2 linked regions of the Lonchura striata genome follow. The protein of the gene in region 2 interacts with the protein of the main gene of each other region in a biochemical or structural test. Links are inferred from orthologs where the notes say so. Each region holds a gene or a part of one and is shown on either strand. Other genes may lie near its edges.

Region 1 (3,747 bases), on a different chromosome or scaffold from region 2:
GCTACTCGCTGTCACCCCTGAAAGCCTCTCCCTTTTGATGTTTGTGCAGCTGTTCAGCAGCTCAGTGGGGGAACTATCTGAAACAAAATTAATCATTTTTGTTGGATTATTCTGATAGAGTTTGCAGCATACTAGGACAAGAAATGCATGTGGCCAAAGGACAGAAAAAAGCAACAGGGACTGGAAGGACTGCTCCTTTGAGCAATGCTAGCTCAAAGGGGTTTGGAAACAAGTAAAAGACCAAAGCTCCATAGTTCAGGAAAAAGGATTAAATCACATGAGGTCAATAAACTGGTGTGCTAAAAATAAATAGGGCATGATCATTCACTATTTCTTAGATGACAAAAATTCAAGTACCTTGTAAAATTTTTAAGCACTGGTTTTAAAACTAGTGAGAAAAAAAATCCTGTCTAGCCTTTGTGCAAATTTGAGACCTTCCCACCACTGCTGGAGGCCAGGTGTACCAACAGCTCAAAAAGCTATTTAATATAGAGAAGCGGTACATTTGTGGCTGTTAGGGTTGCAGTGGACACAGATTTCACCTGAGAGCTTTTCCTGTGCACCCAGGAGCTGAAAACGGAAAGAAAAGGCCACATAATGGTGGTTTATATGTTTTTATACCTCTTACATGTATCTCTACTATTGGCCATTGTCAGAAGTTACCAGCCTAGAGACAGTTGCTTTGAATGAGGCTGGCTCTTCTGTTTTCACCTACTTTACTTCAACTATATGTGATATGAATACATTGTTCACATTAGTTATATTTGCAGTAATTATTGTGGAGACACAAAGTCTGCATTAGATATACCTAAATAACAAAATAAAACTAGACAAGTTCTTTTTCCGAAACAAATTATGCCACTGAAGATTTCTTGAAGAATGTATAGACATGGTGTTACTGGAGCTATCCGTCATACTTACCCTTGGACAGAGCAGTACAGATAAGAAGGGTGGCTTTAAAGCAGTGGCAGTAGATAGCCTAAGAGCACCTCTGAGCTCTGACCCCACAGCTCTAGGTTACAGCTAACAGTGGAAGTGTCCCGTGGAACTACGGATGGACGAGGGACAGTAAAGCATGGCTTGCAACATATTGGTAACAAAAAGACAATCTCTTTTCTGGGGAGTTCATCCTAAAATACTAGAACAAATTGAAAATGCATTTCTGACGAAAACCTTTGTTGGTGCGTGGGGAGAACCCAAGTTTCTAATTTATGGCAGGATTGAGTTGGGTTTGGTGCCAGCTCCTGCCTTCCTACTGATGAGCCCCGGAGCTATTAAAGCGATGTGCCGGGAGGTGAGGGCGCAGTCTCCCCGCCCGCTCCCCGCGCCCCGCCGGCCGCCCATCGGCGCGGCTCCCGTGCCCGCCCCCGCCGCTCGGCACGGCCGCTCCCGGGCGGCCGGGCAGGTACCGGGGCCGCTCCGGGCGGCAGCTCCGCCGCGAGGGGTGTCCCTGAGCAGCGGCTCGGCGGTGCCGGGCGAGGATTGGGCAGGGCGGGCGAGCGGCTCCGCGGCTCCCTCGCCGCGTTCCCGCAGCAGCAGCGCGCTCGCCGCCCGCGCCGCTCCCGGCCCCGGCCCCGGCCGCCGCCGCATCGTGATGCCGCATCCCGCGGCGCCCCTCGGGGCCGTCCTGCTGCTCGTCCTGCTGGCGGCGGACTCCTCGCAGAGTGAGTACCGCGGGGGCTCGTCCCACCCGCGCACGCCGCCGAGCATCCCCCGCCGCCCTGCGTGTGTGCGAGCGCGGGCTGTGCCGGGGCGGGGTGGGGTGCGGGGGGATGCGCAGCTTCGCGGCTGCGGTGCGGGCGGCGGCGGGGTCAGGGGATGCTGGCGAGGGGCCGCGCTGAGGCCGCGGCCACCCACGGGCGGCACCTTGAGCAGGGAGAGCGCTCGGTGCCCCCGGAGGGGCGGTAAGTGTGCGGGGTGGGGGTAGGGGAATCCGGGGCGATCAGACGGGCTCAGCTGTTCACGGCTGCCTGTCCTTGCTCCTGCTCCTCTCCTCGTCCTGCTCCTGGCCTCCCCCGCGCCGTCCCGGCGCTCGGCTGCCCAGCCGTGCTGCTGCGCGCCCCGGAAGCTGCCCAGTTCCTGCGGCAGAGGCAGCGCCGAGCCTACCAGATCTTCGAGGAGACCAAGCAAGGGCACCTGGAGAGGGAGTGCGTGGAGGAGCACTGCAGCAAGGAGGAGGCCCGGGAGGTGTTTGAGAATGACCCGGAGACGGTAAGGACGCAGGGCCGCCGTGGAGATTTGGGGGGTGGGTGTCCGGCTCTGCGCTCCCACCCACCCATTATCCGCGGCTGGATGTCAGCTACCGGCACAGCTGGGAAAGGCATCTGGAGGAGGAGGACCCAGGGCCATTAGGTGAACGACTGGAAGACACACTCGTGCTCAGCCTGCACAAGGGCTGTGCCAGGGCTGTCCAGTCAGGAGCACCTCGGTGAGCGTGGTCCGAGTGAGCAGCCCAGCCTGGCGCCGGCTGGCGAGACTGTCACTGGAGGGTAGAGCGGTCCTGTTCGCCCATGGTCCAAATCCATGAAGCAAGACCAGTGCAACCTAATGACACAGCTTCTCTGTCTGGATACCTTGCCATCCCTGCTCTTCCCTCCAGCTTCCCATCCCAGAGGTATTTAAAATCCCCTCAGTGTTGCAGCATATGTCACAACTGAGGCTTCTCAGACGAATGTCCTAACCATTCTTAAATCCATGGGGGCCAATTCAGCTTGGTCAGCATCTTAGAATCAGTAGGTTCAGGACCTGTCACTACAACAGCAGGAGGGCACATATATGGAAATGTGGTTCTGCTTCTAACACTGTGGATTCACAGTTACAGACTGCACACTGTACATGGAGCTGTCTTTTCCAGTCTTACCAGGGTTGACTTTCACTTCAGTCCTCTCACTTTGAGCAGCATACGGATGCTTTACTAAGCTTGGCTTACTCCTCCAGTCATTTTACACCTCCTCTCAACAATGTTTTGGATAGGCTGTTCTCATTGCAAGGACTATCTGGCATCGATTTAGCAGTGGGAAGTGGATTTTCTTGGTGCTCAAACTGAAGCTCAGTTCTGCACAGCATGTTCCTGTTAATGGTATGATGCTCCAGGGAGAAGACAGGACAGAGGAGGAGAGAGAGAGAGTGAGCACATGTGTGTGTACACAGAGGCACAAACCACAGGCAAAGGAGGGACTCAGCAGAGATGTTTTATGCTTCAGTAAGGCAAGTCTTGACACGTTTGCTTCATTAGCAGCCTCAGCACTCGATAGACAGTGCAGTAGCTTGCTGTCACAAGACAGTAGTAAGTACAGCAAAAGCAAAGTGATGTGGTTTTGACAGTCTTTATTTTTGAGATTAATATGGAACACTTGCCCAGGCGGTGTTTAATGTTACACCTTTTATGTGAATGCATAGTCACTGTGTGTGGCAGTGTTTGCTTCTGCTCTGCAGAAACTGAGAGACTCCAGAATGTGGATAACTGTAATGGGGTGAGAGTGGCTGGCACAGCTACTGTATTTGTGTTGAGTAATGTAGCATTAAACTTGATAGAAATATTCACCACATAGCAGTGAGTACAGGGAAAACTATGATGAGTGTGATTTTATAGCCTTCTGGACCAAAGGTGATCTAAGGTCACTACTTTTACTAACTGGCTGCTGGCCAAGAGGGTAGCTAAAGGTGATGCATTGATAGATCACTTTAAGGGTAGGATAGTGTACAAATATGTCAGGAGTTTTAAACAGTATTTGGTACTGACTTCGT
Region 2 (3,747 bases):
GCATATAAAGGAGGAACCAGAAGATCAAAGGAGACCGTGGGAAAGCAGGAAGGTAGAAAACAAATGTAAAGTTAGTTTTGTTAGGGAGAGTGGCTATTTCCTATGCAGTGACACAGGACTGACAGACCAGAACAGGTCTAGCCTAGTCCAGTATTATGCCCTGGCAGTGGACTCCACATCTACAGAAAAAAAATTACTCCATCACTCTTGCCTGGCCACGTATCACCATACATTACAACTTCACCCAGTCCACTGGTTGGTCAGCTTCTCACAGGATGCCTTGCTACTCACAGAGCCAGTCAGAAGGCACTGCTTAGTAAGAAGCCCTGTTGCTCTCAAACTCTGTTACAGCCTCACCGGTGATCCAACATGGATTTCTGATCTGCCACTTCCCTTCTTGCTAAAACACCACCCTCCCACAGCCATGAGGGCACCACCTCACAGGGCAGACGAGCAGCAAAGGAACTCACAGCATGGTTGTAACAGCTGGAAGAAGGGGAGCAAGCACTGTGGGACCAGCCAGTGCTCTGCCACCAGCAGCCTGCACCCAAATGAGCACCCGTAGTCTAGGAGAAAACCCAGAACACAGGCAGAACATCTTTACTCCTTTCCTTAATGAGATTTCCCAGCTGGTTTCCCGGCACTCAGTCTTTTGCCTTTCTATCTCCTGTTACTCATTTAACAAATTCATGGAGAGCACTGGAAAATGGGCAAGCTGATCATTTGAGTTTAGTTGCTATAGCTCATTTGCTGGGCTAAGGATTTGATCACCTTGGGTGAGGATGATCTAACCTCGCATTACTTAACTCAAATGTGACACAAACTACATGTCCCAGTGCATGCCAGAAAGCATCCTCCCTTTCACCACTCACAGCACTGGAATACAACATGAAAGCTTCATAGCAGCTCTCTCTGTGTTTCAGAAAACTGTTATAGTCAGGCTGCTACATGCGCACAAACTGACAGACATTTTCATTACAGGTGCCTTCATGGAAAATCAAACTACTCAGCGTGCTTCAGACTGCCCTGCTGAAAGAGTTAGCCATAAATTAAACAAGGTAATATTGTTAGAGATTCTATATGGTTTTCAGTTAGCAGAGGAATCAAAGATGTAGGAAATTAACATACAGTACAAGTGTTCAGTCAGAGTTGTACATATTGTCCAAGTATAATCCCTCCATCAATTTCAACCAAAATGAAGAATTACACATCAGGTATTTTTAATAACTTCATAGGTCAATAGCGCAGTTTTGGCTGCAGCATCTCTTCCTGCAGGTATCAGGAAGAATCACATAGGAGGCAAATAAGAATTTTAATTTCCACCTATTCCTCATTTTACTCTCCCACTCACTATTTCTCATCTGACAATCCTTGATTCAACTGTGCAAAAAGTAATTTAATCCAAATAGGCTCCGCCAAGCCTACCTGTAAGAGCTACAGATTGTGAAATGTATAGATATGAAATAGAAGTATTTTAAAAGTCTTATCAAGCAATTGTCTGAATTGACAGCAAGTGAACACACTAGTTGTCAAAATATATGACACATTTGTTTGTTTGTTTTTTAAACTTGCTACCTCTGAATATTTTAATTCCTAGGAACAGAATACGTTTTTTGTGATGTTGGGAGTGGAGAGAGAGGAAGACGTCTGCTCATGCATGCCAGGGTAAAGGTTTTTTCCTCCTCAGATTGCTTAGGACACTGCTCCAGCGATCCAGCCTGTGCCACAGCCTCCCCAGTTCCGTGTCACTGCCCGCACATCGCTCCACATACAGCGCGGAGCCCAAACTCCCGCTGAAGTCGGGAGGAGGCTGGCCGGGGCGCCGAGACACTCCAGCACGCTGCCTTTCCCTGCCGACCGGAGGGTGAAACTTCGGAAAATGAGTTCATGAGGGAAAAAAACCCAACAAAAGCCACTCAGGAATGCGTTAGCGCCCAGCTTTCCTCGGCGACGGCCCGCGCTAGGCACATACCAGCGCAATGCCTCCGCGAACCCCGGGGAGGATTACTCGCTACTCTACTCGCAGGCAGGCGAGGCTCGCACAGCTCGGTTTCCCCGCCGGCTCCAGAGCGCCACGTCGCCGGCCCCACGAACGCGGCGGAGACGCTCGTGCCCGGCCGGGAGGGGCAAAACGCGCCGGCCCGACCCCACCTGTGGCTGCCCGAGGCCCCGCGGCCGCCGCACCGGGCGGACCGGGCGCCCCCGGCCGCTCCTGCCCGGCGACCCTCAGCGGGCTGCCGGCACTCGTAGAGGTGGCGGAGCGGGAGCTGCCCGCGGGGACACCCGGCCCGGCGGCGGCAGCCGAGCCCCGCAGCCCCTCCCGCCGCACCCGGGGTCTCGGGGGACAGTGCCCCGCCGCCACCGGGCTGTCAGCCCCGCTCACCTGCCACGGCAGCGACGTCCCGGAGTGCCGCAGCCCAGAGTCCCAGCACGAGGAGCCGCGGGATCGCCATGCTCCGCTTCAGCTCCATCTCTCCCGCACCACCATCCTCCCCCCTGCTCCCGGCGCCGCGGGGGGCTCCCACCGCCCGTGCAGGCGGCGGCGGCGGCGACAGCGGCAGCCCCGCGTCGCCGCCCGATACCGGGCTCGCCCGGGAGGCTACGGGGACGCTCAAACTTCTGGCTCCGGCCGGGACGAGCCTCAGGAGAACCTGCTGCGGGGCGACGGCGCGGGTCGGTGGGGTCGGGTCGGGTCGGGTCCGCTCCGGTCCGGTCGCCGCCGCTGGGCGATCTCCCCCTGCCGGCTTGGCCGCCGCGGCGCCACTCTGCGGGGTCGCTCCGTCCGTCCGTCCGTCCGTCCCTGCCCAGCCGCCGCCGCCTCCTTCAGGAAATGGCGCTCTCGGGCGGTCACCGCGCGCTGTGCTCCCCCTCTGACATCACATCATGAATATGCATGAGCCGGGCGCCCACCGCCCCCGAAGCGGCGAATCACGGCGCCCGCCGCCCCCGCTCCGCCGCCCCGGGACGGGACCGGGGCTCCGAGCCCCCGGGAGGGCGGGACGGGGCGGGAGGGGCGGGGTTGGGGCGGCAGCGGCAGCGGTCGAGGAGGTGTGTGGAGGCGGCGCCCCCCGAGGGCTGCTCCGCCGAGCGGCCTGGTTTCCAGAGCGCCGGGAACGGGTGACCCACATCCGCGGGAGCTGCCGGGGCACCGGTCATCCCCCTACTTACATGTGGCCCCTCTGGAGCCCCAGCGCACCGTCCAACCCCCCAAGGGAGGCGGACTTGGGGCCGCCACCGGGACTCAGCCCCCCAAGCCGAGGCTCTGCCGGGATGAGCAGAACCCCGCCTCATGCACGCAGCATCCCCAGCCCCATCTCCCTCGGCCGGCCCTCTCCAGCTCCTTGCTCCGGCCGCACTCTCCTCACCGTTCGGCCTCCTGCTCGGGGGATGTCGGTCACCCCATCCCGGCGGCTGAGCTGTGAAGGAGCATCGGCAAGGTGAGGAGATCCGCCCGTGCCCTTCAAGCAGGATCGGCTCGGCCTTGACCATTTTTCCGCTAGCGGAAAAGTAGGGAGAGAGTTTAGGAGGGACATTTCTGCTGCCACAGCGTTAGTAGAACGTCGTGGATAAAGTCACTTACGAACAGTTGTTAAAAAAAATCTGGCACTGCCTTTTCGTAGGAGTTACGGTGAGAATCTGGGTTGAAAGGTGACATAAGGAGCAATATCATTACAACACGATGCAGCTCTTAGCTCTGCCACAGCCATCAGCGTGCAGCACTTGCCCAGCAGCTCCTGCAACACTCTG

Evidence for each region. The genes of interacting proteins can lie anywhere in the genome.
Region 1: the proteins of TYRO3 (region 2) and GAS6 form a complex in vitro, tested with the Homo sapiens proteins (2 studies listed by BioGRID). The link is inferred for Lonchura striata from reciprocal best matches to the Homo sapiens genes TYRO3 and GAS6.

Annotation. Positions count from the first base shown.
Region 1 is NC_134604.1:91,116,400-91,120,146, forward strand, and holds the start of GAS6 (growth arrest-specific protein 6), read left to right. Parts: upstream 1-1,558; 5' UTR 1,559-1,594; coding exon 1,595-1,664; intron 1,665-2,044; coding exon 2,045-2,211; intron 2,212-3,747. UniProt on the Homo sapiens protein: Ligand for tyrosine-protein kinase receptors AXL, TYRO3 and MER whose signaling is implicated in cell growth and survival, cell adhesion and cell migration.
Region 2 is NC_134608.1:37,106,419-37,110,165, forward strand, and holds the start of TYRO3 (tyrosine-protein kinase receptor TYRO3), read right to left. Parts: upstream 2,837-3,747; 5' UTR 2,472-2,836; coding exon 2,384-2,471; intron 1-2,383. UniProt on the Homo sapiens protein: Receptor tyrosine kinase that transduces signals from the extracellular matrix into the cytoplasm by binding to several ligands including TULP1 or GAS6. Regulates many physiological processes including cell survival, migration and differentiation.